Medicago truncatula: one gene and its partner. The protein of the gene in region 2 binds, or shares a complex with, the protein of the main gene of each other region. Links are inferred from orthologs where the notes say so. Each region holds a gene or a part of one and is shown on either strand. Other genes may lie near its edges.

Region 1 (16,297 bases), on a different chromosome or scaffold from region 2:
ATATATACGTTGCATAAAATCTTAATGATGAAAAATACGTACATTTGATTAATCAATGGAGAGTATATAACCTTTTTAGAGATTTCTCCTTTCTACAAGAGTTGAATCATTTGGAAATTGGTTTTCTGCCTCTCAGTAATAAGCTATGAATCTCAGGAGCCTACACAAAAAACCAGACCCCCCCCAAAATTCGGATGAAGGCAAACATAACTTTATCTTTTCTATATATTGATTTCTTTATTTTTTTAGTTTTTAATAATACATTTTCATTAAATTTAAATCAAACCATCATTTTATATTTTTTTGGTTTTTAATAATATATTTTCATTATTAGACGGTCACAATTTATGTGAATCTAACCTCTTTTGTTAAGACCCAATACAACTCCGATTGTGTCAAAAGTCAAAACGTTTATTAAATGAAAAATAAGTAATCAATAATATTGACACTTGGAAAATCCCCCCTTAAGTAAAACTTAAAATTTCTCACATAGGGAATAAATCTGTCTTAGGATGTAACAAACATGAATGGTTCTTTTATTGCTTATTTTGAAAATAAGGCCAAATGCAGGTGAATGTATGTATCTAGGAGAAAGGGAGAATTTGAAGTTGGACAAAATTAGAGCTATAAGCATCTTAAGTTCAAGCATGGCCAAGTTTTGTCCAAGACAAACTCTTGGGCCAACTCCAAATGGCATATATACGTGTGGATGAGTACAAGCACCAGCAGTTCCATTAGCAAATCTCTCTGGGTTGAATTTGTAGGCATCTTCTCCCCAAATATCAGGATTTGTATGCAAACTTAGTATCAATATCCAAAGGCCAGTGCCCTTTGGGACATCGATATTCCCGAATTTCATGTCCTCCTAAGTGTGTCTTGGCAATAAAGGTACAGGTGGATAAAGGCGCAACGATTCATGAATAAACATTATCACCTGCATTGAATGCCACAACAAACTTAGTTATCGTTCGTTTCTCAACAACTTGTTACCTACTTATAAAATCAAGAACCATTTTGAAAATTTAATCAAAATGAAAGTTGTCCTTACCAGCTTCATCTTTGAAATCATATCAAAATCTGGGATTCTACCGCTGCAAATTTCTAGTATCTCGGCACGAGCACGATCTAGCCAAGTTTGATTTGAGGCCAATAACATAAGACACCATGAAGCAACAACTGCAGTTGATTCAAAGCCTGCCAAGTATATATTCTTGCAGTTATCAATAATGAAACAAGAAAATTAACCAATTTTCTTCATGTTTCCAAACTGCCAAGTATATATTTTTGCAGTTATTCAAAAACTGCAAATCAAACTGGAGCTTCATAGCTAAAAATTAACTTTCTATGTAAACTCAAGTCAAAGGAGATTTAATTTGCTATGATAGGAATAAGTATATGGATCTGCTCAGCTAAAATAACAAGAAAAAGACAAAGATTTTAGTTTGATACTTCATTTATTCATATTTAATGCACGTTGATCCACCTATTGCGCAGCTAAATCTATATATTATTATTGGTTTTGGAAAAAATATATGCTTGGGATTTATATGACTCATGAAGGGTGAATTTAAATATTAGTGCATCACTTGTATCTTAGACAAATGCTCTCAATGCTCGGTTGTTGCAGAGGGTGAGGCCTATGCTATTTTCCTTTCCCTTTAAGACTGCTGAAAACTAGGGCTATAAACTCATGTCTGCTTAGCAATGTAATAGTGGATGCTAATATCTATACAATTATGAGACGAAGGTTGTTCAATAAGCCCTTCAAAATTGCCTATATTTTTAAAAAAAAAAAAGATCGAGAGTTACGACCTGATTGGTTGAGAAATTTGAGGGGCCCAGTTGAGCAACCATCTAATGAGATCGATAGACAATCTTTTGAAAAATGTCGCAAAATTATAGCCGATCATAGTCATTACAAGCTAGATTTTGTTAGGAGGCAAGTTGATTGGGTTTGTCATGGCAGCTTAGTTAGAGCATCAATATTAGTCTGGCCCCTATGTGTTTGTCTATGCCTATGAGTATTTCTTCTCTAATTCATGATGAAATGCAATATTCCTATTTTGCTTATGCCTTTTGATTTTATAATCGATCTAATAACTCCAAAATTTCCTTTTAATTCATTCAAACCAGTTTTTCCCCTCATCTAGAATTGACACATTGCAAATCTATTAGAAATTTTTTATTTATTTATTTATTTTATTATCAATAAACATATTGATTCATTTTAGTATTCAAATAACTATGAATTTGTAACGTTGAGGTCCAAATCATTGATAACGAGGATTGTTTAAAAAAAATGAAAAACCAAACTATTCAAAAAACCTAATGTATATAGAGAAAGAAGAATATATTGTCCAACAAAAAAATAAAGAAACATATATAAAGAAGAGTACAGGCCATAAACCAATCTATTACATGAATAGGTTAAAAAGAAAGAAAAAATATAAAAAAAGGTCCCAATTAAGGCAAAAATGAAAAACAGGGGCCACCACTTCCAGCCACTTTGGAAACATGAAAATAGGAAATTAGTGCAACAACATTATACAATTAGCATTGATGTTTTTGTACACTTAGGCAAGAAGATTATTATTAATTCTTAGGTTCATGAAATAGAGTACAATTGTAATAAAATATTTTAAGGATCGATTTGATGATCAAGATAGAATAGACAGGATGAAGACAGAATAGAACTGATCATATCATGTGTTTGATACGCATACGATACCAATCAGGAATGATACACACATGTCACAGACTCACAGTGCCCCTAAATTTTGTCAAAGGTTTATAGTTTTCTTACTACTAGCTGGACTCCATGGTCTGGCTTCAGTATGTATGTATCTTGGAGAGAGGGAGAAAGAGAAGTTAGACAAAATAAGAGCCAAGAGCATCTTAAGTTCAAGCATAGCCAAGCCAAGTGTTGTCCAAGACAAACTCTTGGACCAACTCCAAATGGCATATACACTTGTGGATGCTTACAAGCACCAGCAGTTCCATTAGCAAACTTATTATCAATATCCAAAGTTCAGTGCCCTTAGGGACATCAATATTCCCAAATTTCATGTCCTTGAAAACATTCCTTGACAATAAAGGTACAGCTGAATAAAGGCGCGAGGATTCATGAATAACCATTGTTAGCTGCATTTTATGCCACAATAAACAAGTTTAATTAGTTATTGTTTGTTTCATAGTATTTTGAAATTAGTTTATTCTCAGCCATAAGAATCAAAATGATGGACAGGATTTGCAGAATGACACAAAGTTAGTCTCTAAGACTGCTAATAATTCAAATATGTCCTCGACCTTGCAAATTGTCTTGCAGATTAGTCTTTTTCGAACGTAATTCGATAGATTGAAATTATTGTAGTAATGGACTAAATGTAGAAGACCAATTTAAATATGAAGGTAAGTTATAAAAGTAAGAGTTCAATTAGCAAAGCCGGGTTTTTTTTTTTAAAATATTAATAATTTTAGGGACTAACTTGTCACTACCTTACAGAATCAGGAGCCGTTTTGATGGTTTACTCGGAATGAAAGTTTTGGTTACTAGTTTGCATATCAGGACTGGGATTCTACCCGTGCAAAGTTTTAGCACCTCGGCACAAGCGCAATCAATTATGCGATGTCCCTACCAGCCGAGCTAAGCTCACAGGGACCAAAACATAATTAATCTATTGTGATGTGAGGGCAAATTAATTCATATTCATATGAAGACAAAAAGAACGAAGGACGTTTGGTTTTATAGTTGGTCAAATTACTGCAAAACTTCCATTTAGTTCATTCAAACCAGTGTTTTTTTCACATCTAGAAATGTCACATTGCAAATCTATATAATTTCTTGAAATATCATCTTTGATGAAAATGTTTGTGCCATGACAAAATTAAACCTTGAGAATGTACATATCACTCATGGTTGTGGTAAATCTAATTATTTACAATGATATTCATTCATCGTTATATATCTTTTGGTGTATTTTCTTATCTGCAAAGTGCCTTGAGTTGGAAGTTCAAGCTTGAAGACAGATGAAAATATTCCTACTTGGTTGTTGATGCTTGGAAAATCAAATGCATCATCATCTATCAAGCTTCCTGACTAGTGGTTAGTCCAGCAATTTCGTTTAGCGGCTTCCACATAAACTTTCTCCTGATCATTCACATAAACAAACATTAGAATGAGATTTCATTGTGGAGAAGCTCTTATTGCTAGATGTTAATCCAAACTAGACCTTGCATATAAAGGTGGAAATTTAAACTGAAGTAAATTGGAGTCCTCAAGCACAAGTTTTGCAACAGAGAGCACTGATAAATATCAAAAGAAATAAGCAAAGAAGAATAAAAACTGTAAAATCTACAAAAAGGTTATTAGAAAATTTGGCATCCTACCAATTTCCACATTCAGCAATGACCCTCACATTAGGCCTTAGTGTTGGCAGCAGAGCAAGGAATTGTAGTTCAGCCTTGGAGAGAACCTAAGCAACATCCGAAGCAACATTTTAGTACAGCAGCCATTCAAAAAAAATAGGTGGGTTTGTGCATTGTCCTAGAGATATAATAATAATACAAATAATTCACCCTACTTCATCTAAAAGCATTTTGAGATGGTGTACTTATAATAAATTTCAATATGAGAAAACATAAAAGCAATAATCATTCTGTTTTAAGTATGTGAGGGGTATTTTAATGTAATAAAAGTAAAGCATAATCCACACCTTAGCTTCAATGATCCACACCACCAGTCCTTTGGCATTTGGTGGTAATGCTTCCAATCTGTAATCAACTTCTGGTGGGAAATACCACCTTGCTATTGGTTGCTTTCCTAAATGAGCCTGGGATTCATGAAAAAATTCCATGTAGTGTAAACTTGAGTAATAATCTATGAAGCACTAAGACAGAAACATTCATTAGACACGACATTGACACTTACACGTAGAAACTAATAACAGTTTGAGAAAATGAAAGTTATAGAATGTAACCACACCACATGTATCGTTGTACTATTGATGTCATACAGTGACACATGCCAGACACACTTTCAATCTTAAGTGTTGGTATGTACTACATTGGTAATAATAGCTATTAATCATTAAAAGCCGAAAAAGTATTTTAAAGGAGCAAACAACTATTTTGGTTCTTGAATATGTGTGAGGCGCTATATATATCACTATATAGTTTCTAAATGTATCGAAATTGCAAGCATGCCCACAAGAGTATCTTTTATCATTCATTTTGATACTCGAATCTATTTTTAGGTAGTCAATTTAGTCCTCAAATATGTTTTCCCTAGGTCAATTTCGTTCGTTCATAAAATTAATAAGAAAAGAGACACAAGGTATGTACTTACAGGGCAAACAGGGTGAACTTTGGTGAGAGTGGTTTCAGGATCACCAAGACCACGAGCTGTAAGATCAAGAAAATAGTAACCTTGACGTTGAAGACGCGATAAGTAACGTCCTTCATACCCTCCTTCATGAGGAGTATATATTGCAAGTGCTTTATGTTCTTCAACATCTGAAAGCCAACGTCCAATATCAAATTTAACCAAATCTCCTCCAATGAAGTCACCTAATCCTATTCCACTACTGCATTTCACTACCCTTTTACTTCTGTTACTGTTACATTGTTTTCCTCTCCAACCCATCATCAATCTTACACTGTTGTTATGATTTTCAGCCATGAAGCTGTTCCTTGGTGGTTGCTGAATGTTAGAGCATGTTGGTCCTCCACAACCTAAGCTTGCAGAGGCTAACATTTTTGTTTTGTTTCTTTCTTTGGTGCTAATGAAGAAATTTATTGTTGAATAATGTACATTTTTTTTTTTATTTCTTCGTAAGTTGAAAGATAAAGAAACATTGGTTAGAAATTGGAAATTAAGACTGAGGATGAATGATATTAGTTGTATGGTGGAGAAATGAGATAAAGTCTTGTCTTCACTTGTAACCTTCAATTAGAGATAGTGGCATATCATCATGTAGTGAAACTATTCACTTATTCACTCTTATTATTTGTTTTCACCTTTAGTATAAAAAAAGTGAGTGTTGTTAAAGATTTAGATATTTAAATACTTATTTTATGATATTAGTGAACTAATAAAATGATATTAAGTACTACTTTAATTTATAATACTTCAAATAATATATAGTACTAGGATTTATCAGATTAAGAAAATCAAGAGAGAAGGAAGTAGGATGATATGTTTTGATTTCTCAAAAATGATGCACGTTTACATGAATCAAAGTGTGGTATTTATACTACTAAATTTACCACTATTACATATGTAAAATTATTTGTTTGACTATTCTAATTTGACGTTTAGTAATTGATCCTTACTATTATAAGTTGACGTTATGAATAGATATTTCAACCTAAATAGTAAGAACTAAAATTATAGGATAATTTAAGTTTTTATAATTTCTTATATCAAGTGCATTATTTATTTTTATTTTTTTTTAAGGAAGTGAATGCATCCTTATTACATGCCAATTTGTTGTGATTTTTTTTTCCCCATACTTTTTGGGCACCTTTCTTCTTTCTTTTTTTCAAAAATACCTCCATTTGAATTTTAGAATCCAAAATGTGTTTTCATAATCCATATGCATAATGAAACCATGAAAAAACATGACTAACACTCCATTAAATAAAATTCAACAATGTAATTCATCACCATCATCATCAACAATAACAATAACAACAACAACAACAAAAATTAAAAACATCGGTTAAACACAAACAAGATCATGGACAAGGCAAGCTAGTTTCTTAATTAGGTTCAACCATGCACGCTACAATTTCTTGAAATATCCTGAGACCAATAAAACTTACCCGAAAATATTGATAGATCTCAATAAGGAAGCGTCTATCTCGATTGGTTCCTTGGAACTATATTGATCAAATATAGGGAACAGTTTTCACATCATCGTCGTTTTAAAGTTTCATCTTAGTGAATCGAACGTGTTCATCTAAATCAATTAACGGAGGATGATACTCAACACTAACCAAACTTCTTATAGCAACATCGTTGAAATAATCACTCAATTTTTCCTTTAAATCAAATAACGTAACACCAACATTGATCATAAACAAACCAAAATTTTCATTGTTGTAGTAAACTGCAACTATATGTGTTAAACGGTGCCAAGTCTAAAATTTCGCTCTCCTAAATAAAATGATTTTGCTGATTTACCACGTGCGGCACTGCGTATTTTAAATTAGACAAAAAAATTGATTATGGTTCTGAATGGTGACGGTGAAGGAGAAGTGATTCAAATCATCCAAAAAAGTGGTCCTAGACATCAACCTTCAACCAATAATAGAATAAAAATGATATTTGAACATGTGACAACTTTCCCTCTTATATTTCTATTATCTTTTACTTTATCTTTTTATTACTTTGATTTTTGTGCAACTTCCTACTATTTCTTTGTAAATTATGTTGTCCCACAAATTATCAACCAAATTAATTGTTTAAATAACACTCCTAAGATTCTGATAAATTTTTTTACTAACGTAACTGACGGATAAACATGAAGAAGTGGTCCTGCATCAGTAATGACATCAACTTTCAACTAATAATAGAATAATAAATCTTAACAGACTCTAGCACTTTATAGTAATGTTTATTTAGAGGTTTTATAGAACTTTATAATTTAATTACATGAAAAACCAGGGGAACATGTCCAATCCATTTCACGAACATCAACCATTAAAAATTACTACGTAATATACTAATAATAGGTCAAAAAGTGAACGATATGTTCAATTGTACTTGCATCTCGAACTTTTCGAGGAACTGGTTTAGTTTTTAAGTGAGTTCAGTTACACTGATAATATTCTAGTATATTCGAACTAAGGTCTAAGTATTGCCTCAAGAAGAAGACCATTTTAAAAACCTAAAATGGTACTCGTAACAACGTATGTGGAGCCTTAAAATAAACCCACCGCAAGTAGCAATAAAAAAGACAATATTTTACATATGTAAAACCTATTTCAACTAGTAATCTTGATCTTGTCAAAAAAAACTAGTAATGTTGATAATATTCATATAAACATCTTCATATGTTTGAATTATGGAGATCACAATTCAACAAGTTGAGTTTAGCAAAAGAGTTATATTATTATCACATCATTGTGTGCCAAAATTTGAATGAATCCCGATTAAAAGATGTATTAATATTTAGTGTCTGATATGTCTTAAACAATATTATTTTTAGTGGAATGAAACATAGAAAACAACGATGTATTAAAATACAAATTTAATCTATCAATTTTTTTTTAAGAAGCTAAAAGAGAATCAATATATATAATAAAAAACAAAAAGAGAAGGAAGTTAAACCTAAGATGTGCTTAAAAATGGCTCACAACAGTGTCACAAAAAACCGAAATAGAAAAGGAAGAAGATAAAGAGCCTATAACGACAACACAAGGTGATAAATCCTAAACATACGAAGGATTCGTCCGACAATCATAAAGATCAAAACCAAAATTGTGTTTATGAGTCTTCAACCATCACAAAGAATATGTTTTCACCCTCTTGAGCATTTAAGCAATGGATGCTTTCAATTAATCTATTCGGTTGATTTTTGGCACTTCTTATGCTGATTTTCCATGCTTTTGATTTTATATTCCATTTTATCTTCTTCAAAAAAAAAATCTATTTAATTCTTAATCATAATCCGTCTATTTCTTTTTAAGTACCATTTTTGGAAATTTTGTTCTTATTTATTTATCTTGTTTAAAGGTCAATGCAACTTTAACTATTGCTTTATTAATAATACGCTCTAATTATTTATTTATTTATTTATTGGGAAATGTTAACGAGTGCTTCCGAGACATTCTTTGAGACTTTTATATGGTAACTTTTTTTGAAAATTTATGTAATCAATGCATCGAAAATCAAAATATTTGACTTTTTATGAAATAATTTATTCTCTTAAAATCCTTAAAGAGTGTCCCGGGAGCACTCGTTAACAAGACCCTTATTTATTTAATTGATGGTAATACTTTAACTTCTTTTTTTAAAGGTTCAAATGAAATATATTACCAACTAAGATAAGACATTTTAGCACAAAATGTACCGAAAAGATTTATAAAAAAACAAAGTGATATTACAAATCAAACCAAAGCAACAAAAGAGAAGAAACGAGTAAATTACAACAACTAAACAAAGAATAAGATTCAGCCTCCAAAGATGGTTGTCAAAATTAAAAGCAACATATTTTGATTTTAAACACTAGAATGATTGAAGCTTAAATTGTTCACTTAATTATTGTAAATGTTCCACCATGTGCTGGAAAATACACATATTTCGCTCTTTCCAAATGATCCAAACCATAGAAGTATAAATAACACTAAGTGTCAAGCTAACAATTTTCGAATAGCTCCGAACCTAACAAACTACAGTAACACTGATCCAATAAATTCTCATGAGATGACGTTGAGAAGCCTAGTCAACTTGAAATAAGAAACCAAATTCTTCCATATAAATCACACTTAACAAATAGGCGATCCATGTCTTCTATTAAACCGCAGCCTGCTGAACAATATTGATCATTTTGAGGAAAAATCTTCCGCCTTACCAAGTTATCCTTAGTCGGAACATGGTTTAGTAACAACCGCAAAAAAAAAAAAAAAAAAATTAGTTTAAGCAAATCAAACCTGATTATTCACCAAAGGAATGTTGTCCTCCGCCCAGGCCGTATCTGAGGTAGAGTGAGTAGGGTGACCGTCCTATGCCCCAAAAAATAAGTACGAAATTACTTTAACAATATTGACATTATTCAATTTTATTCTCTTATATTTTTTTATGGTTTTGTGTGCATGCCCAAATATATTTATTTTGACTTGTGCCCAAGTAAGTATATTTCCCCGTATGAAATGTTTTGTATAAGCATTTGAATATTAAATAAAAAACTCAATTTTTTTTATGAATTTTGAATTTTTGTAAGGTCATTTCTTAACGTGGTAAAAACTATCATCTTCAAAACAAATTATTTTTATACTTTGAAAATTTAATTATTTTTATATACTCATAATTTATGACTCAAACCGTATATTCGCTCTAAACCACCAAATTTTATAAAACGGCCATGCTTCTACCGCAGTCAAGTAATTATATGGAGCTTGGTCAATCTCTGCAACTATATTTTGAAAAACTTTCTGCGACAAATATATAGACATGATTTAATTTGAGAGAAAAAAGCAAAAACAAAACATCACGAATGTCAACAAAGTAGAACGTTGCAGCTTCAAGTTCCAACTCCGTCCCTTTCAAAAAAAGTTCCAACCTCTGTCGTGACAAAAACAAAGATTAAGGGTGATTTTCTAATGCCAGTTGCATGCATTGTGCACCTTCATCCAATATTTAATTTCAACATTCAAGCTGAATCAAGCACGCTGTAAAACTGGAATATTAATCAGTATTGTCAATCAAGTAGTATTCTATCCTATAAAGTAAAGGTTCTGCTTACTAGTGTCCTAAGAACACCGATTAAAGAATCATTTAATATAAATTTTATTCTGAAAATAAGAGTTTTTGTTTTTGTTTTAACAATTACTACACAACGAGTAACAAATACAAAAGGACCAAAGAACAAAGCCACCTCATTACAGATAGATAACTAAACATGGTAAATGATTCAACCACGACAAATGGTAAGAGAAAGCAAAGCTAGGACGGTTCTCTTTCAGCCACCAGTATGATTAAAGCTTAATTTTGTCGAGTAATTGATGAGGCGAGGTCTCTTATTGATGAAAGACCCGAGCATTTCTTTCAATCCAAATCACTCACACACAAAATGGTCATATGAGGTTAAAAGTTGAGCGAATACTTTGGAAAAACTCGTCTCCTAAGGTGCCAAATTGATTTAAATGATCTGACACATGTTCAGGATACACTATGTGGAAACTAAGCCAATTAGATATATTGTACCAAAGTTTACAAAAGAAATCACAAGAGAGGAATAAGTGCTCTGCATCTTTCAGTATCTCATATCCACCCCCACACATAACTGAGCATTTGGTTGTAAAATTTGTCTTTTAATTGAATTGCCTTATGTTGGTACCAAATTACACAGCAGACGCCAAACAAAAAGACTGACTTTTAGGGCACCTCCTTATTCCAATTTAAGTTATGTGTGCAACTGCCAAGTTGTTGTTGACTAATGTAAATGTAAATGTCAAATGTCAAATGCTAAGTTGTTGTTGATGACTGATGCAAAAAGACTGACTTTTAGGGCACCTCCTTATTAGATGGACGCGTGTAAATGTCAAATCCACATGTTTGAAATATTAGGCTGCAAAACAATATTAGTTAAAAATCACAGCACTCCCGCACTTTCTCCTCCTCCTAAGTTAATAAACGGCGCCTCCACTTCCAAGCCTCATCATCCTCCCCCCACCTAAGCAAATACATTTCATTCACCGTTGTCATTTTAATAATAGCAAGAATTGTTTCTAAATATGTGTTACTAGATAAATGCATTTATATTTTTTTTCCAAACATAACCTTGATTAATTTTAATACTTTGCTTTGAAATATAAAAACCAACTATAAATACATCTAAACATAAAGGGTAATTTAATAGTTGTATATAAAATGAACATATCAATACAAAATTAATTCTTCTTAACTTATGTTTTTTTTTTTACAAAATTTCTTAACTTATGTTAAAAATAACAATAAATGCGTATAAAAAAGCAGAGGGAGCATTCCCTTTTATGATTTGAGAAATTGTTTTTTAAATACCTAATGGTATCAAGGTGTAAATGAAACATTCAAATCTTAAGTGGGAACCACTTTTTTTAATATTAAAATATAATGATATATAAGATTATTAGTAGAAATTAACTTTCATTTAAATAATCTATGTAGGGTGTTGAGTTTACTGGATTAAATGATTACTATTATTAGATACTACAATAAAAAAAATATAAATAAATGATGTATAAAATTTGTTTAAATACCAAAAAATGATTGTATCCATTAAAGGCATTTGTTAGAAGATTTTTTTTATGGATGGCAGGCATTAGGCAATGTATGGGAGTTCTTCCACTCCATCCAACAAAGAACGTGGGGCAAGACTATATTATGTTTCTGTGTTTTGGAATAAAGTGGCCGACACAGGTGTGTGTAAGTTCAGAGCCAGCTATATATATCCACTCAATTTTCATGAATAAGCTTCTACCCTTTTGTTGCGTTGTGTCCCTTCTATTAATCAAATACTTCAGTGAATGACCAAATCAAATCTTGAAATAGAAAATAAACGAATCAATTCATGAGTGAGTGAAAATAAGAAGACTAAGCCCGTGAGATTAAACTTTAAGTATAATATGACAATATTATAAAGTACATGTATAAAATAAGAATATGTAAATACTCCATTTGGATCTCTGTTGTGTACACAACATAATCGTTTGTGTAAAAAGTCATAGTTATGAGTGAGTATAGAGTACATAAGAGACTCTTGTGTGTGAAAAGGACATTGCATGAGTTAGCACGATGAACATAGTAGCAATTCAAAGAGTTGGTAATATTTACCATATGAGAAGTGTTATTTGAATAACCAAATTGATTTACAACTTATGTCACAACCATAATTTACAAAGGAAAAGTAAACATTTGTACAAAAACCAAAACAATAGAGAAATAAAGTAAAAATAATTTGAGTATGATAGAGAAAGTTGTTATCAAATGGATGTTCAAATATTATTTCTCTACACACACCCCACTAAATTTATCTTCCAAAATACCCATTGTGATTTCCTAATATTTATTTTGGAGAAAACAGCACGCATGTTAAGTTTTGTTAGGCACCGGTTAGACGTTCCTCGCGAGCTTAATTCAGTTGGTACGAACAATGCATAATATATGCAAGGTCTGAGGTTCAAACTCTGACCACCACAACAAAAAAAAAGTACCGGTTAGGCAAAATTAATTCAAAAATTAAATTAATTTTAAATAATTAAATTTAAAAAAATCATTACATATAATGGTTGAATATTAAATACATACTCAACAAAACAAATTTTTATTTAAAGAAGGAAACAAATGTATTAAAAATAGGGAAATGTTAATGTTAGGGTGCACCTAATGCCCTAGTTAAGAAATTATAAAAGGAAATGTTTTATCTGAAATTGTGTATTTTCATTTTTCTTTTCATTTTTAGCGGCTTAACTAGTGCCGGGGCCCTTGTTAACCCGATCCTTAAAAATATCTTAAAATTTGTGTGAAGAATTCTTTAAAGTCTAAAATATATTCATTTCTAATACATTCTATACAAAATTCTCTTTTTGATTATCTAGAGTACTTGTTAGCACGAACACCACTAAATCCATCTTGTACATAATGATTTATAATGAAGCTACCAAAAGATAATATTTATTATGACAAACAAGTTATTATTAATAATTAAAGAAAACAATAGTATCATTTACTTACCATATAGCAGCTATAAATAAAATAAAATAAAAACATGATCACCAACAGAAACTAAGATAAAATCATTTACTTACCATATACTATGGCTAAAGCCATATAAAGAACATGTCTGCCAATAAAACTTATAAGAACCCAACAAGAACCCGAGCCAAGGAGAGTATTCAGAACTTTTGGACTAATAATAATAAATCCTTCCATTAGCAGGGAAAGACCAAAGGGACTACATCAGGACATGAAAACAAAATGGAGCTACTATCTAAAGCATCTTGATACATACACATATAATTATATCTATTTTTTCAAATTATCACAAGTGTCTAAGGGGAAAATGAGTAATAAAATTAAGAAGAAAGTGATATATAAACAGCAAAAGGGAGCTCCCTTCAGTCCAAGCAAAGACAAGAGAAAGATGAAATTTAGCTCCCGCATCATTCACACATTCACAATATAGCATATTCATCATGCTTCTTCTTATTGTGTTTGAATGAATGAGTCAGCAGCTAATTCAAAACCTTTTCCTATCCATGAGTGGACTGAAGAGAGCTCTCTTGAACTATTTTTCTTAATAAGGAAGTTCAAGAGCAAAAATCGATCATTGATAACCAAAGATTAGAACAATTTATAACTCCCTTGATTCAACTATGAAGGGCTCATAGATGACCAAAGATGCTCAAATTATATTGATGAATACGATATTATGAGCATCTGACATGCAGATCTCATAGGTAGGATAAATTTAACTGATCTTACTTTGGACAAGAATTTACAGAAGATCTGAAATCTTTCCCAATGTTTGGTGAATTAAAGATTAACAATTATATACTGTAAAATCCTTAATATGCCAAGCACTGCAATGGGAAGATATATCTAACAATATTTTGGTGTAATTGGCTTGTAGATATTTAAAAAATCAAATTTTTGCAAGAACCCTAACCCTAGGTCATACAAGGTTTTCACATAAATAAATATTTTTCAACATTAAAAGTTAAAAGTGTGGCTTTTGTTCTAGCCCTTCCAAATCCATGCACAATTCATCAAATCCCAGATGTAAGTTAAAATTGAGAAGCATAAAATCTCAAACATAATACAATTAACAAGAATCTAAATCTAAATAAATAAAAACTACATCTTCAGCTTACTGCTTCACCATTTTCATGAAACAAAGCTCATCAAAGCCAATCTAAAATCCAGAAGCTTCCACAAAAGAAACCAGATGCAAAGAAAGGGTGTAAATAAAAATAAAAAATAAAAATATGAATCAGAATACCAGAGGAGTTATTATTTTATACCTATAAAATAAACCAGAAACAGTAACCAAAAAAGTAAAGAGTAGAAAATTAATGGTCAAAAGCAGAGATCACGGAAGTGAAACTGTAGTTTCAAACAGAGAAGGTGGAAGTGTACTGTAGTTAATGTCTTCATGAGAATCAGAGAAGAAGAGAAAACGATTGAAGATCTCATATCCACACAAATCTGGCATAAGGCACTATTTCCAAAGAAAACCAGATCAAAACAAAATAAATAAATCATCTTTTAACAAAGGAAATTATTTAGAAAAAAATACTTTTACAATTGCAACTTAAACTAAATATAGAAAAATTCAGAACTAAAAATTTGTGAAAATTTCTGAAAGTTTCTTCTCCTTCTTTTTTTTTTTCCTTAGAATGATAAAGAAACACTCACCTTTCTTTCTGAAAGTAAGAGAGACCCTTTTATCACACATAAATAAAAAATTCAACTACCTGTACTGTACAAGTACTGTTGATAAAGAGAGAAAGAAATAGGAAAAGAAGGTTGAAAGGTGGGGTTGTTGTTACTCCTTTAAACCACTCTTTCTCTTTTATCTTCCATAAGCAAAAAGTACTACAAGTACTGTTCATGCACTATTATCAATAATACTAGTTATAGTATTTACTGTAGTTTACTGAAAATAGTGTTTTTTCTACATAGGAAAATGGTGTACTTATAGAAAGGAGTTTAGGTTGAGGTCACTAATTAAACTGGCGGAGAAAATCATGAACTACCTGGGTACTTGTAATTGTATAATTTGTAAATGGGTGACACACCTGCCATTTTCTGATGAACATGTTTCCTATGTATGTGCGAGTTTCACGATATATGATTCTCACTCGTTTCCATCAACACCAGTAGTAGTACCGTCTTTTCTATTAGTAGTGAATTTGTGACCTCATAAAATTTTAAAAAGTTCTGATTTTGATCCTCTAATAAAAAAATAAAAAAAATTATAAAATGTTATAAAGAGGGGGGCAAAATTGTAAGAGTTTGTAAAGAAAAAGGGTAAAAGAACTTAATTCCTTAAAGATAGAGAGGCAAAATAGTATATTTCTTTAAAGATATGGAGCAAAATTTTTATTTTTCTAATTAAGGGTCAAAATCGTAATATTTTGAAGGCTAAAATATGGTTTTAGTCCCTGCAAATATGCCTCGTTTTGGTTTTAGTCCCTGGTAAAAAAAAAATTGTTTTTGGTCCCTGCAAAATTTTTTGTTTTTGAAAATAGTCTCTGACCCCACTTTTGTGATGATTTGCATACATGGCACATTATAACTGAACCAATTTTGTAGTTTTTGGTCCCTGCAAAATATTTTGTTTTTAAAAAAGGTCCTTGCAAAATTTTTTGTTTTTGAAAATAGTCCCTTCAGGGACTATTTTCAAAAACAAAAAATTTTACAGGAACCAAAAACAAATTTTTTTTTTACCAGGGACTAAAACCAAAACGAGACATATTTGCAGGAACTAAAACCATATTTTAGCCTATTTTGAAATATAGAAGAGGAAAATTGCATTTAAGTCTTTCTATTATTGTTGCCTTTTTTTCTTTCCTTTTCTCGCACTTTTAATCT
Region 2 (16,209 bases):
TTTTATATTTTATTTGTCCCAAAGACATTGGTACCTTGGGAGTTTGGAACGGAGGGGAATAGAGGTAGACATGAAAACAAAACCTGCCCCCACCAGACCCAACCGCCCCGCTCCGAATTTAACGAGGAAAAGTCGATTTAATTGAATTTTTAGTATGGGGGAGGGGGATGCTTACACCCGCCCCGCACCCGCTTTTTGAAATTTACTTTATAAATTTTTTAATCTTAACTCTATAAGGGCCAACCTATTTTAATATATTATTACTCTTTAGAAATATATTTATTATAATTATTTTCCTTTTTTGAAAAAAGTTTATGAGATATTTAATTATTAATATAAAGTCTTGTTAACTAGTGCCCCGGGGTACTGGTTAAGGAATCCATAGGTAGAAAAATTGTCTTTGAAACATAAACGGTTACTTTTACTAACTAACTATTACACCACTTTTTAATAAAATCTTTTCTCTTTTAGCTGCTTAACCAATGCTCCGGGGGCACTTGTTAACATTCTCCTTAATATAATTATTATTTTTTGTTGCTATGAAAAAATATGCATTTTTTAAATATTTTATAAAAAATAGAGTTTTCGTGGGTGAGGGCGGGGCCAGGAGACTGTCCCCATTGGGGCCGGGGTTGGGTGTTCAATTTTTACCCCTGATATGGTTTGAAGATGGAGGCGGGTGCATGGAAGACGGGGGGGGGGGGCAGGGATGCTTAAATCCGCCCCCGATCCGCCCCGTTGCCATGTTTAAATAGAGGGTTTTGGGGTTGAAAAAAAAAAACAGCAAATCGAGAAATTTTTAATATTTTTTTATTCTTTTTTATAAAATGATAAATTAATATTTATGATTATTAAAAAAAAGTTTATTAAACTCAGATTAAATTGTTAGTAAATTTTGAATACCATTTATTCTTTTTTTAAGTTGCGCATTCTTATTTGAGCATATGAAAGGATCAAAGTTTGTTAAACTCAATGAGATTAAACTGATACATTTGTCATTTCTGGAGGCAAAATTGTACCGTCTATTTTGTATCCGTTAATTTTAAATGGAATGAAATAAATTAACCTTGTTTTTTCTTTAAAAAAAAAAGACTTATTGAAAGTTGGGTCGATTAGTCTTTCTCCTTGTGTTGTACATTCTCCATGAATATAATTATTTTTAAATTTTAATTAATATCAGGAAATAAAAAAGGGCGTTAAAGATGAGTCAGATTGTACTTGTGGCTTGCAATTGCGTTTTTTTTTAATCATTTTATTCTTGTGATGGCAGGGATACCTATATGAGAGAAAGTCTTGTATAGGCACAAATATTTAGACACAAAATTTAAGCACACACACGTAAATCAAAAAAAATAAAAGATAAATAAAATAGTCACATTAATCAATATCCCTTTAATCATTTTCTTTTTAATTTTTTTAACTTCTTGTGTGTGTGTCTAAATGTGAGGTGTTGGTCTTGTGATCAAGTAAGAGTTTCTCCCATGATCATACACTAAATGAATGAGCCCCATGTTGCATTCTAATTGAATGAACTAATTCATTTCATTCTTGTGACAACATGTAAATTGGAAATAGTGTCTATAAGACCTTGCACTCGCTGAATGAGCCCTATCTCGCATTGTTACTGCGCTTACATGTGTAAATAATGTATTACATAATTGATAAATTTATTTGTATTGGTTTGATACTTTCGATCTCAATAACAACTAGAGAAAACTATTTCAACAATAAAAATTATCATGAAAATAATCATAAACAAATTAAATACATACAACCTATTTGTTTATATTGGAAAAGACATTATTAATTTGTTTAGTAAAAAGTCAATTATGAATAAAATTGGCTTCTTAAAACGTATTTTGTCCAACTTTTTTAAATAACTATTGTTAATTTAGAAATTATAAAAATGCTAAAGTCACTCGTTCTAAGATACTCTTCCAATACATCAATCATAATAAGCCACGCCGCACAATCCAATTTTTTTAATTACTTTTACACCTTGTAACCAATTCTATTTTTCAGGGGATATATATATATATTATCATTATCATTTAAATTTTAATTGTTCATCTTCTTGCTCGAATTCGATCTTCCACAAAGGAGTTCTTCTATTCATAGAAGATACATAATTTGAAAATCATAAAACTTTCGTATCCTCCCAAAATCAATATAAAATTCATAAGTAAAATCTAAATTATTATGACAACGACAACCCAAAAGCAAATCTTGATTTGAACAGTGTTTAAATCCCAACATAACCGCAAAATCCTACGTTAATAAACCATCTCGATAAAAGAATGAAACTCAACTGGAGCTCACAACCAAAACTTCCACAACATATAATCTATTGCAATAGAGGGATAATGTGGCAGCTAAAGACCAGACACGAATAAGTCCACGAAATCTACAATGCGGCTGATCATGGCGTCTCCCAAAAACATGAAACTTGTAAAGAACAATGTTGCAGATGAAGTATGTTGGAACATCAAAAGAATCAATGTAAATCTCAATAATGTTGATTCTTGTAATAAAATATAACATAAAATCATTATATATCAAAGACGAAATGTGTCTCAAAGACGAAATGTCAATTCCTGCACAAATAATGAACTAATTTTGAATAATAGTGTTTTCATATATTGGTTAAATTTGTTTTTAGTCTCTACAACACTTGTGATTATTAAGCTAAGTTTTAAATATTTTTGTTTAATTTTAGTCCTTAATTTTTTGTTATAGAGCATAAATGCAAGACGAAAAAATTGAATAATTTTTTCGGAAGGACTAAACCTACAAAATGATCACTTGTGGAACTAAAAATATATTTCACCCTTTAATTTCCTATGTGAAAATATTTATTTTTTTCTTCATAGTTGACCCTTGCGTAATTTTTTTGCTAGCTTCGTCCCATATCTTTAACTTAGTTTGAGGAAAATCCGAACTTACATTACATCTATTTAATGTGGAATTTCACTATCTTATCATGCCTAATTATGAAAATAATTTAATAAAAAAAAACAGATGCAAAAAGAAGTACCCAATAAAAAAAACAATCAAACTCAAAAGGATAAGAATTAAAAATACGGTGACTAGTCCAAGAACATGTCGCCCTATCTAAAGTATGAACAACTATGTTTGTTTGTCTCATAACAAACTTTACCTTGAAGTTAGAATGTAAAGATAACTGATAACTAATACTAGAAACAATAACATAGAATTCCGAATCACCATGGTCCGGAGACAATAGAGCTTGTACTAGAGTAGATGAATCACACTCAAAGACAACCCATCCCATCTGTTAGCATCAGCAAAGTGAAGGACCTCGAGTAAGGCTACTGCATCCCCCTCCAAAATGATCATATTTGCCCGCTGCCATTTCGTTTGAGCCTGAATAAATTGTCCACAGGAGTCTCTAACACAACATGCAAAAGATATAAGATGATTACGGTCATGGAACACAACGTCCACATTACACTTCAACCACGTCTTTGTCGGTTTCTCCCAAACTCACACTCTATTATGCCCGTGCTGCACAACCGGTGGTGAATTATGCTTAATTCATTACTCTTTTGAAACCTCAAAATTTCTTTAGGAACACTGTTTTCTTCACACTTGAAGTCACCTTCTTCATTTTCATCACACTCCATATTTCTGCACTCAGTGCTTCACTTCCACTGTCAAATCAATGTTCACAAGAAGAAAATTCCTCAATATACTTTCATCACGCAATGTTAATGTTTCCAAGCTAATTTCTCACCAATTAAATCCAAATCCACTTCCAAATCCCCAAATTTCAAACAATTTTAGGGTTTTACTATTCAATCTCTATGGAACCCAAGATTCCAAATTTCCGGAATACGAGATGCCTACTGTTACATGGGGTGTGATTCAAGGCCGCAAAGAGAAACTCGTTTCGCGGGTCATCATCTTCGATTATCTCAAGGGTTTGGGAATTATTCCTGATGAATTGCAGGATTTGGAGCTTCCTTCAACCGTTGAAGTCATGAGGGAACGTGTTGAGTTTATTCAGAAATTAGGGTTAACGATTGATGATATAAATCAGTATCCTTTGATTTTGGGTTGTAGTGTTAGAAAAAACATGATTCCTGTTTTAGGGTATTTAGAAAAAATTGGGATTTCTAGGTCTAAACTTGGTGAATTTATTAAGAATTATCCACAGGTTTTGCATGCTAGTGTTATTGTTGAGCTTGCTCCTGTTATTAAGTTTCTTAGAGGACTTGATGTAGAGAAAGATGATATTGGGTTTGTCTTGCAAAAATATCCTGAACTTTTAGGGTTTAAGCTTGAAGGTACTATGAGTACTTCAGTGGCTTATCTTGTTAGTATTGGTGTTAATCCAAGGGATATTGGTCCTATGGTTACACAATATCCTTATTTTTTAGGGATGAGAGTTGGTACTATGATAAAGCCTCTTGTTGATTACTTGGTTAATTTAGGGTTGCCTAAGAGGATTCTAGCTAGGATGTTGGAGAAAAGAGCTTATTTACTTGGTTATGATCTTGAAGAGACTGTGAAACCTAATGTTGATTGTTTGATTAGTTTTGGTTTGAGGAAGGAATATTTGCCATCGGTTATTGCTCAGTATCCACTGATTATTGGGTTGCCTCTTAAGGCGAAATTGTCTTCGCAGCAATATTTTTTCAGTTTGAAGCTTAAGATTGATCCGGAAGGGTTTGCGAGGGTGGTGGAGAAGATGCCACAGGTGGTTAGTCTTCATCAAAATGTGATTATGAAACCGGTTGAGTTTTTACTTGGTAGGGCAATACCGTCGCAGGATGTGGCTAGTATGGTGATCAAGTGTCCTCAATTGGTTGCGCTGCGAGTTGAGCTCATGAAGAACAGTTATTACTTCTTCAAAAGTGAGATGGGGAGACCTGTAAAAGAGCTTGTGGAGTTTCCAGAATACTTCACTTATAGTTTGGAATCTAGGATTAAACCTAGATACCAGAGGCTCAAGACCAAGGGGATAAAATGTTCATTGAATTGGATGCTGAATTGTAGTGACCAGAGATTTGAAGAGAGATTGCAGGGCAATTATATCGAAACCGAAAGTATAGGTCCTTCATTCTGTATTGGTGGGAAATTAGAGCTACCCGGGAATGACATAGTTTCAGATGAGGAAGAGGAGAGTGATGATGAAATGCTATACAGAAGAACTGTTTCTCTTTAGCAGAACAATGCATTTTTTATTTTTATTTTGCTTGATGAAATAACTAGAGTATAACTTTCATGTTATCAAATGAAGGACTATGATTAATCTCTTTCCATTTTATATTACTATTACTGCAATTGTCATCTCAAGTTTTCTATCTATTCATTACCCTCATGGCCACAACTATCTTTCAGGTGAAATGAGGTATAAAACCAATGATAGCATGTGGTATAGTACTTGTTAGTTATATTGCCCTTAACTTCCATGTATTTTGTGTCTGTTTGGATTTGGTGTCTTGGTCGTCTTGGCTTTCACAATTGAAATTGGATTAGTATCATCAAGAAAGAAAGGAAAAAAAATTATATTCATTACAATTTTCTTCACCTCTTAAGTGGTGATGGTTATGTGACTTTGAAGGTAGCAGTGAGTGAGACAGTTTAGTGCCTTGTTATATAATCTGTTTGGCAAGGCCTATTCATGAGCATATATCAGATATCTTAAATAGGGTATAAGTTCATTTCTTTAAAATAGATCTGTTTGGCACAAAAAATTTCTCATGATTTTATAGCGTTTTTTTATAAACTAAAAACTTTTTGATGGCAACCTACATCCTTCTGTAATTCTCAGTGATTTATAAAGTTTATCATATTCACATGCAATGTATGTGTCAAAGTGGATGGCCTCTGTATGCAATACAGAAACTGAGCTTTTGTATTTGTATGATATAGATGAAGATGATATCATTCACTTGCAAAAATTTACATATATTTCAATCTTGACGTGTAAGGAAAAATTGGAACATGTCTTGCATTGTCATGTAACATTTCAGATGTCAAGGAGCCTAAAGGAGTCTGCTACCACTTTAAGCTGATCTCGTACTTTTTTCCATCGTCTTTCATTGGCTCCCACAATTAATGTGTAGTATCTTCCTGTACAGAATGAATGTTATTACTTATTAGTTTACATAAGGAGCCTTTGATTGCATTGAAAACTCATGCAGTTGAACTTCTGTATATTAACAGTATAATCTGTTTTTATGACACTGAAGTCGTGTAATTTCGAAGAAATTGGCTTCATTTGAATAATTAGTCTTCTCAATGTTGTCTCTCTATCTGGGTTGCACATTCTTTGTTAATTTTCTACCTGTGTCACTTATAATCATTTTTCTATATGAAGATTCTTGTTGTATTATCTAACAGGACAGAGAAGTATATATTGAGTTAGCTTTTCTTTGAGAGAACATTTATTGGATATCACACTGAGATTTGAGATGGTAGACTACTTACCATTTCCTATGGCAAGTGTTGTAAAGGAGGCACTAGCGTAATTTCGTGATGTAAGTACATATTCCATTGTATAATAATGTTTTCCATCTATCGTCCGCTGCATTCAGAATTCAGAAATGATTGTTTGTCAATATGCATTGGCCATCAAAACCTACAATATTCTTTTGAAAAAAACAAATTGGAGAAGAAATGAAATGAGAAACCTCTTGCATGTCATATATTGTTGGTCTTTGGTTTGGTGCAGTATATCTATGTTTCACCAAATCAGTTATAACCTGATTAAGACGCAAACTGGCTAAGTGTATAACTATAAATTAGACTCCATAACATTAAGACAGAATCTAAATCATAATCACCTCTTCCATTGGACCCAAATCTCTGATATCTTTCTTCTCAGTTGGTATGAATCTCACCCTTACATTTTGTAACTGTAAATATCTGTCTTTGAATGCAGAATCGTGTGCCCTGAAGTCAAATTCCTAGGGAAAAGATCACCCAGACAAGTGACAAACTTGTAGAAAATTATTTGGTTGTTGAAACTAATTCCTCTGTCTTATCTTAAGTTTTGATCAACATTACACAAACACTTACAAAGATCATTGAGTGTACTAATTCATGTGATAAAATCAACGCAATATACTGAAGCACCCTTATTAATATAGTTACGCGAATATATAACTAAGCTGAGATACAATAAATAAATGTATATTTGTGAAAAAACTTAATCAATGCTTCATTGATATTTTAAAATGAGAGATGATGAGGTGGACAAATATTTCAAATGTGATAGTTAATATGAAAACAACGGAATAACATTTTGTGAACCAATATGATGAATTTTACCTTCCAATCTGAGGGATAAATGTAAGAATATCCATCTTCATAGTCGACAAAAGATCGGTATCTGTCTGGTATTTCTACAAAATAAGGACTAATTGAATTTCAAAATTTCAGAAGATTGTGACTCCTCTTTACATATCCAAACAAAGATGTTATTATGAATACCTTCAGCTAAGAGTGAATTTGCTGGTAGCAAATTTGCTGTTAATGCTCCTATACCCAACAGAAGTGGTCTTCTCTGGCAGTGTCCTAATAATAAATAAAAAGAAAACTCAGATCAAGCTTTGATAAAGGTAGATTACTTCTGATAAGTGTTGATTCTTGATTAGCACAAACACTGACATGCTCATTGTAAAGTCAATGTAAACTTGATAGTAGTTATTTTAAGCACAGATTAAGCTCTTACTTTCTGTACTGGAAGTTGTTTCCATTGCACAAGAGACATTGTTAGAAGATGAAGTTGTAGTATTCCGAAGCAAATGATTTGAATGTGGCAAGTTTAGCTGAAACAGTTCACATGAGCTGTTTATGTATAAAGAACATAGTGTGAATGCAATGAAGAAAACAAAATATATCATGAACACACCTTATGGGATAAGTAGGATGAAGTCCAGGTTAAAGAGCAAGAAGAAACTACCATAGTGGTGAAGAAGAGTGGTATAGAGCTTCAGTTTTGAGATGGAAAGAAATACTGAGTGGATAGTAAGTAGAATTTAGACCTTGTGATGTGGCTAGGAGTTTGTGGTCATGTGACAAGAATGAAACTTGTTATTTTTTTTTTTTTTTTTCATTTAATTGGATAATGTCTCTTCTCAACTATTATTTTATCTTAATTATTTGAAAAATCTTTCCTATACCCCCTCAGCTGGATCTTCTATACGCACAAAACATATAATATCCACATTTTGTTCTTAATTTTTTTTTTTTATGTATTTATACTTATAAAATTCAAATTTTAAATTTCCAGATTGTATTAGTTATTTGTTAAAAAATATTTCAGAAAAACAAAAAATATTTGTGTTTCTTTATCAGATTTTTTTGAGTTTTTCAGAAACTATATGTTAAAAAAAAACTTAAAATTTGATATTATTATTTTTTATTATTTTTTAAAAAATAATAATATTTTTCTAATTATTTTTCATTCCAAAGTTTCTGGTTATAGAGTTGGAAGGAAGGGAGTTTTTTTCACCGAGTGATTTTTTTTTAGTGGTCGAGAAATTTAAAGTGACGGGTTCAAAGGTATGTATATTTACCTCTCTGCAAAAGTATTAATGAGACTCGAATCCAAGAGGGTCTGTCTTTTTACCACTGAACTAGACCTTTGGAGTTGCCTGCACCGAACGAATTTTGCAAAGAAAAATCCTCCAAAATCCATTAGTAAATATTGTGCACTTAGTATTTGTGAGAAACAACTTGGAAGGAAGGGAATATACTATTACTATGTAGTTGGGTAAGGAGGATACCAAAATTTGTGAACTAAATGAATTTGTGCAATTTGTGTCAATTATTTGTCAAGTTTCATTGTTGATTTCAATGACATCATGGCCGGTCAATTTATAAAGATAAATTGTTGCAATGGTGAATACATGAAGTTAACTATCTAAATTCTCAACCCTTTGATCTTACCATGCAGTTACATCACAGCCACAAAACAAGAGCCAAAAATAGTAATCATGTGACAAACTCTTAGGCTGTATAAACTGATTCTACATGGTCTTTACCCTTAAACAATTGAATGAGACCGTTTCTTTAGCCGTTAATACTTACCTTTGTTGTTTAAACACCAAATGATTAGCTCTCACACTTTATTTTCACTCTTAGAAAAATTAATAAAATTAACAAAAACACATTTCTTCTGTTTCTGTATGTTAAGGTTGATTTAATTAATTAATGGCAATCTACAGAATAGCAATTGGGTCTCCTAGAGAGGCTAGCAATCCTGCTGCAATTAGAGCAGCCTTTGCAGAGTTCTTCTCTATGCTCATTTTTGTTTTTGCTGGCCAAGGCTCTGGCATGGCCTATAGTGAGTAATATAGATAACTTTTTGAAGAGTATTACATATTATTACATATACATTTTTTAACATTATCTTTTTTATACTCGTTCAATTATTGATTGATATTAGAAATAGATCTTAAATGAAGTGGTGAGATGTACGATAATTTCACTCAATAAAAAGATAGAGCGTTGAAAACGAATTATTAGTTAGTTTATTGTAAGCAATAAGTGTTTTAGAAACTTATTTTGTGACATTAGAAGATAATTATTTTTCAATGCCTTAGAATTGTTGAGAATTTGAAGATATATAGCTTGTTGGCTATTGTGGCAGATAAACTTACAAACAATGGAGCTGCCACTCCTGAAGGTCTCATAGTTGCATCATTATCTCATGCATTTGGGTTATTTGTGGCTGTTTCTGTTGGTGCAAACATTTCTGGTGGACATGTGAACCCTGCAGTCACATTTGGTGCTTTCATTGGAGGAAACATTACCTTCTTGAGAAGTATTTTGTATTGGATTGCACAGTTACTTGGTGCAGTTGTTGCTTGCATTCTTCTCAATTCATGCACTGCTGGAATGGTAACTAAATGAATCTACTACACATGCATTTCCTTCACCTAATTTAAAATATAGGCTCAAATGCACTTTTTAGTTTAATTTTGTTGATGTGTTCTCTTGTTAATACATTTGATGACGTGGCAATGTTGAATTGGATAATAACATATTAAGATTTAATTTAAATCACCATCACCATATCATGAAATGTATTTCCATGTCGTTAATGAAAGATGACATATAAGAAAAATTAAGCTCAAAATCAGGTAGTTGAGAAAAATTCAAAAACTTGTGAAGTGAACTAAATTTTGAGATTTAGAACGAGTGGACTAAAATCTTAATTCAATAATAATTAGAAGATCAAAAGTGGATTTTAACTATAAAACAGAAATTGAACACTAGTTGAATTTGAGATATCAGTGCTACATTTAGATTTTATATATATATATATATATATATATGCAGGAAACATCAGGTTTTGCTCTATCCTCTGGTGTGTCTGTGTGGAATGCATTAGTTTTTGAGATTGTGATGACATTTGGATTAGTATATACAGTTTATGCAACAGCAATAGACCCAAAGAGAGGGAATGTTGGTGTTGTAGCACCATTAGCAATTGGTTGTATTGTGGGTGCAAATATCTTGGTTGGTGGTGTTTTTGATGGTGCATCAATGAACCCAGCTGTGTCTTTCGGGCCTGCTGTTGTTAGTGGAACATGGACTCATCATTGGGTCTATTGGGTTGGCCCATTCATTGGTTCAGCTACTGCTGCCATTCTCTATAATAATATCTTCATTGCTGATCACGTTCATGAACCCCTTTCAAATAGTGACTTCTAGAATTTTTATTATTTTTTCTTCTTCTTTATTTCATGTATTCTGGTCCCTCTACATATTATTGAGGGATCAATAATACTGCAGTAGAATCTTTAGGGAGTATTCAATATTTTTATTGCCTAGAAGTGATTACCAATATTTGTTCATTACATTATAGTGCCAAAATGGATAAATGTTGGTTACTGATAGTATTTTAATTTTAATAAGCTGAAAGAGAAAGGTAAAAAAAAAAATGAATTTGTTCATTCTTGTCTAATCTAACCTAAATTTAATAATGATTGAAAATAAATTATAGCATTGGACATGCATTTTGGAGGCATGTTTTCATGATATGCACTGTGACCTGACCATATGGCACAAGATGATTAATTAATAATGCTAAACTAGTCCGACTTGAGAGGTTTCTTGATGACCAAGTCAAGAGGATCATCTTCCACCAAAAACAAAAATCCAAGAGGAAATGATCAATATAATATCATCATTCAAAAAGACCAACAAGAAAAACGCCATCAGATTCGGTTCTACAAAATCTGTGCATATTTTTATGTAGATTTATTTCGATCATTTTAAAAGACATGCTATATAATAGAATGCTATCTGTGCTCGTGATTTTCGGGTATCAAGCCATTGATTGGTTTTGAACCTTCAATCTTTGAACTCTCGATTTTTATTCGTGGGAGGGAAAAAATGAGTAAAAACCTTTAAGACCTGGATTCGGGGGTTGGTTACGCAAAGGGAAGGTGCTAGCACCCTAAGCGTCTATGATATTCCATAGGAACCTCTTACCTAGATTATCTTGTGCTAAATTCATTTGCTTATTTGAAAAATTATTACCTAAAAATCTAAGTGAAAGAATGGAGGGAGAAGAAATATGTTTTTGGTTATTTTTATTTGATTTGGAAGGACATGGTCCTCTGCCTACGTACCCATGAGGGATTAAAACCTCGTAGTTCGGGGTAGAAATTGACGTTTGATCGGTTTTGTGTTTTTTTATTAGTTTTGAAAAAGGTTTTAAAATGAAAAGTCAAGTGGCAAATAAGAATCTGTTTGTGTTTTTTAATTTAAAAGAAAATGGACTTGAAGTAGAATTAAGTTGATTGAAATTTGATTAAAAAAATAAAATAAAAAGACGGTCACTTGATTTAAGATCAAGATTTATTGTAAAAAAATATTTTTGGTGGTTTTTGTTATTTGGATGTTTTTGTTATTTTGAATGATAAATAAAACCTAAAGCTAAAGCATGAGAATTTTGTAGTGAGGTTGGATCACCACAAAATCTCTTAACATAATCTAATTTTTTTTTCATTTTTTATAACTTAAGAGCAAAATAAAATAAAAAATAAATACCTTGAAACCGAAAAGGACAGAAAGGAGTAGAAAAAGAAGAAAGACTCGTCAAGACAAGTCGAAGAAGGGAGAAGAGAGGAAAAACACAGGAATCATCAACTGTGTTTTCGGTGTGTTGAATGCATTGTATGAGCCCTCTATTTATAGAGAAACTTCACAACTAATAGGTGAGAAACTTTGGGAACAAGTAATTCATCTAGTACAAAAATATGCCAATTGTCTACCAAAATATATTGAGTACAAAAATATATTATTCAGTACATAAATATGTTATTTAGTACATAAATATATATTATTGAGTATCAAAATATATTTCAGATCAAGCACTAAAATATATTAGATTGTCTACCAAAATATATCATATTGAGTACAAAAATATATTATTCAGTACATAAATATGTTATTCAGTACATAAATATATATTATTGAGTATCAAAATATATTTCAGATCAAGCACTAAAATATATTAGATTTTCTACCAAAATATTTTAGATTGTGTTCCAAAATATTCTAGATTGCGTTCTAAAATAATTTAGCAAAACTTGGGGACCAAGAAAACACTTTTTGATAATGACCAAATTAATTATCATTTCCAAATAAAATTTTTCTAGTGCTTACTTCGTTCACACAATTATGTACCCCCATTATATAATCTTAGGTCAAAAATTGGGGTATCTCTGCCGAAATTTTGTCTAAAACGACGGACATTTTTGGTTTTAAAAGTACGAACAAAATGTGTAAAAACAGAGAAAAATGGTCAAAATTTAGGATATGACACTATCCAAACAAGAAAGTTCTAAAAATTGAAACATAAAAGTCACATTGGTCACAAATGCGTTTTTTATTGACTTTACTGTGATGTTAATTTTGTTGACTTTATTTGATCTGCACAGAGCTAAAAATGAAGTCATTGGCCCCCAAAAATAAAATCATCGAAAGATTGATATGAAATTCACTCAATAAGAAATCAATTCCAATAGGAGCACTTGCGCTTGAATCCATTATCTTCAACAACAAGCTTAAACAAATATCTGCTTTATCAGTAGTTTTTTTATTAATAATTCACTTAAGGAAAACTTTTCCATATGCCGTAGGAATTAGCATAAGACAAATATATATACTATATATTTGATATGTTTACGTCACTTTAGGTTAATATTAATAGTACCACTACGGTTGAAACATCTTGGCAAATCTTAAATGTATGATTATAGATTTTGTGAATTGGTCAAGTTTACAAACCACTTATTGCAAAGTCACCTTCATTAGTATTGGTCTCAGTCTCAGTTTGAACGTCACTGATATTATTTATTTGATTAAAGTCGCTTTGAATGACAAGTATACATTATTTCAAATGGCATTAATATCCAAACTTATCCAGAATATATATGTTTTTTTTTTTTTTTTTTTTTTTTTCAGCTGGTAGTGGCTATAACTCACACAATACATAATTAAATCTGAAGATGTGGGGTGTTCAGGGTTCGAATTTCAGCCCTGCATATAATATACAATATCCTGACAACTGAGCTCATGGGGATATCCTATAGATATATGTTGATTGAAAGAAAACAAAATCATTTTTATATTTATATATATTTTTTCATTTCTTGCTCAATTTATTTTTATTTTTATTTTCATTTTTAGCCTTCACGCTTTGGACATATTATTAAATTAATCAAATATAAAAAGCATACGTCATTGTAATATCTTGCCAAAATAAACCCAGTCTCATCAATTATCATATATTGAATCGTAATCTATAGCTTATAGTAATCACTAATCAAATATATATTATATTGAGATATCCGCTATAGCAAATAAAGTTAAACAGAGATGGTTCATAGTCCATACCATATTGTAATAAAAAAAAAAAATGATTCTATTGTAATATAAAAATAGACCATACTATAGAATTGAATTCAACAGGAAGAATAGACCGCGACCGGTAAATATTGACTGGAAGGTTGAATATTTGGATAAATAACATCCACAGGGTTCATAACACAAAGTACATTAATTTTGAGTCTTCATATTCTTTCTCTTAATATCCTAATACAAATTTGAAACATTAGAGCTACCATTCCATGGAAGAAAGTGTTCAGAATCTGTTTAGATATTTGCCAGATGAAATTCTAGGCTGCATAGTATCTTTTCTACCAAATGAATATGCACTTGAAACCAGCCTCATATCTACCAGGTGGAGAGACTTATGGAACCATGTTCTTGTTAAACATGGAACTATGGAAGATATCACTGGTGCTGTTGCTGAATTTCTAGCCAATTTTGATGAGTTAGATCCGTTAAAGCGACCATGCAAGCTTCGATTTCACTTTGCTGATGACAATGCACTCCTTGCAGCTATTGCAACTAATAGTAAGCTTCTTCTTGATTTTTCTTATGGGATGAAAAAAATTGAAAGAAAATATGAACTTCGGTTCAAGCTCGATAAGCAAAACTTCACCTACCATTCTGTTTTCCTATTCAAAAGTCTCTATTTGAAATCATTAAGCTATTTGACAAGTGAGGTAGCTTCTTCGATCGTTTCGAATTTGGATCATCTTGAGAATTTAACGATCACCGATTGTTGTGGATTACAATCTTTGTTCATTGAATCTGAATCAAAGCTTCACAAGTTAACAATCTTGGATTGCTTGCAGTTGAAGTCTCTTCATCTTAGAACTTCTAAACTTAAATCATTTCGATATCGCGGGCTTCTTCCACGGATTTGGCCAGAATCTCATTTCAACTTGTGCCATGCCATCCTTGATTTCAGACAAGGCCTAAGCTGCAGGGATTTGAGTGCTCAAGATTTTGATGAAATACTATTAACCATAAAGAATTCTGAAGTTCTTACTTTATGTGAATGGACTTTTGAGGTATGCTCTCAATAATTTCCCATCTTATACTATTGCTGGTATCATACATATATGTCGCTTATTGTTTATCTAACATTGACACTTCAAATTGAATGTATGCCTGATGTCGAACATGTGTCAATGTCGAACACGGACACACATGGTTACATTTAATTATTTTATTTTCTCAATTTATTATAAATGTCAACGTATCAGTGCTTCATTGCTCATTGTTGTCATTTTTTTTCCTATGCATAATTTAACTCCAAGTTCTTGCAGACACTGATATGGCCATCAATTTCTCCTTCGAGTGGAAGTTTTATATTCTATAAATTGAAAGAGTTGTGGTGGATTGACAACCATGAGAATGAAAACAGCATCAATGCCTTAATCTCCTTCTTGAAATTATGCCCTGCCTTGGAGCAACTTGTTATAACGGTAGGACTGTTTGAGTTTATCTACTCGCATAAATTTGATGGGACTGTTTGCAAAAACTTTTGACATGTTCATAAGTTGTTTTCAATTAATTTTCATAAACTCTTGGAATAGCTTATGGAAATTGTTTAATTCTTTGCAAGCAAGACCTAGCAATAATTGATGCTCTATTTTGCTACATATAATTTTGATGTTTTTGACAGTTTTATCATACTTGATTGGATGCAGATTGATCGTAATAGTTATTCAGCTCCGCAGTCAAATTTAGGCTCAATTCAAGCAACTAAATATACAGAATTGGAGCATCTAAAATTGGTAAAGTTCAAGGGTTTCACAAATCCAATAGCTGAAATTTCAGTGGCAAAAATATTAATTCAGCTAGTCAAGGGAAAGCCTCCAAAGATAGAGACGTCAAGTGGGAGCAATTTGGATGTAGCAATTATGCAATGATCTACCTAATCATATTTGAGACGCATTAGACATTAAATATGGATCTCTCTACCAGCCAAAATTCAAATCTAGATTCGTCACATTGCGGAAGTCTAGCCATTTCCGATAGAGAAAGTTGTCGCTTATCCTTTGTAGATCTTGTTTTATTTCTTTCTTTTCATTCTTTTAAAGTATTCTAGGGAAAGCATGTCCGATTGTCTTTCTTTATAACTATATGAATGGACAATAGTTCAATCATTGATTATCTGCATGATATCTCCTTTATCCTTTTGTATAATTTTGTTATTTTTCACCGAATGTTATGATCTCTTTTTTTTGGCAAAACATCTTAATGCATTTCAATAATGATAGTTTCAATACAAGGTGAATATAATAAAAAATACAGGGACTAGCATAGGATTGAGATGCCCTCCCTAATTAACGAGCTACTCCA

The links.
Region 1: photosynthetic NDH subunit of lumenal location 1, chloroplastic (region 2) and NAD(P)H-quinone oxidoreductase subunit N, chloroplastic share a complex: the UniProt entries of both Arabidopsis thaliana proteins name them as parts of the chloroplast NDH complex. The link is inferred for Medicago truncatula from reciprocal best matches to the Arabidopsis thaliana genes PnsL1 and NdhN.

Annotation. Positions count from the first base shown.
Region 1 is NC_053044.1:31,875,478-31,891,774, reverse strand, and holds NAD(P)H-quinone oxidoreductase subunit N, chloroplastic, read right to left. Parts: upstream 5,891-16,297; 5' UTR 5,753-5,890; coding exon 5,345-5,752; intron 4,830-5,344; coding exon 4,713-4,829; intron 4,473-4,712; coding exon 4,387-4,472; intron 4,148-4,386; coding exon 4,084-4,147; 3' UTR 3,796-4,083; downstream 1-3,795. UniProt on the Arabidopsis thaliana protein: NDH shuttles electrons from NAD(P)H:plastoquinone, via FMN and iron-sulfur (Fe-S) centers, to quinones in the photosynthetic chain and possibly in a chloroplast respiratory chain.
Region 2 is NC_053042.1:55,803,359-55,819,567, reverse strand, and holds photosynthetic NDH subunit of lumenal location 1, chloroplastic, read right to left. Parts: upstream 8,065-16,209; 5' UTR 7,937-8,064; coding exon 7,883-7,936; intron 7,800-7,882; coding exon 7,703-7,799; intron 7,546-7,702; coding exon 7,462-7,545; intron 7,374-7,461; coding exon 7,300-7,373; intron 6,936-7,299; coding exon 6,813-6,935; intron 6,732-6,812; coding exon 6,660-6,731; intron 6,554-6,659; coding exon 6,457-6,553; intron 6,100-6,456; coding exon 5,996-6,099; 3' UTR 5,801-5,995; downstream 1-5,800. Other genes in the region: transcription termination factor MTERF4, chloroplastic, read left to right, coding at 3,683-5,188; aquaporin TIP1-3, read left to right, coding at 9,187-9,319, 9,626-9,876, 10,318-10,692; F-box protein At2g39490, read left to right, coding at 14,121-14,912, 15,171-15,329, 15,555-15,776. UniProt on the Arabidopsis thaliana protein: NDH shuttles electrons from NAD(P)H:plastoquinone, via FMN and iron-sulfur (Fe-S) centers, to quinones in the photosynthetic chain and possibly in a chloroplast respiratory chain.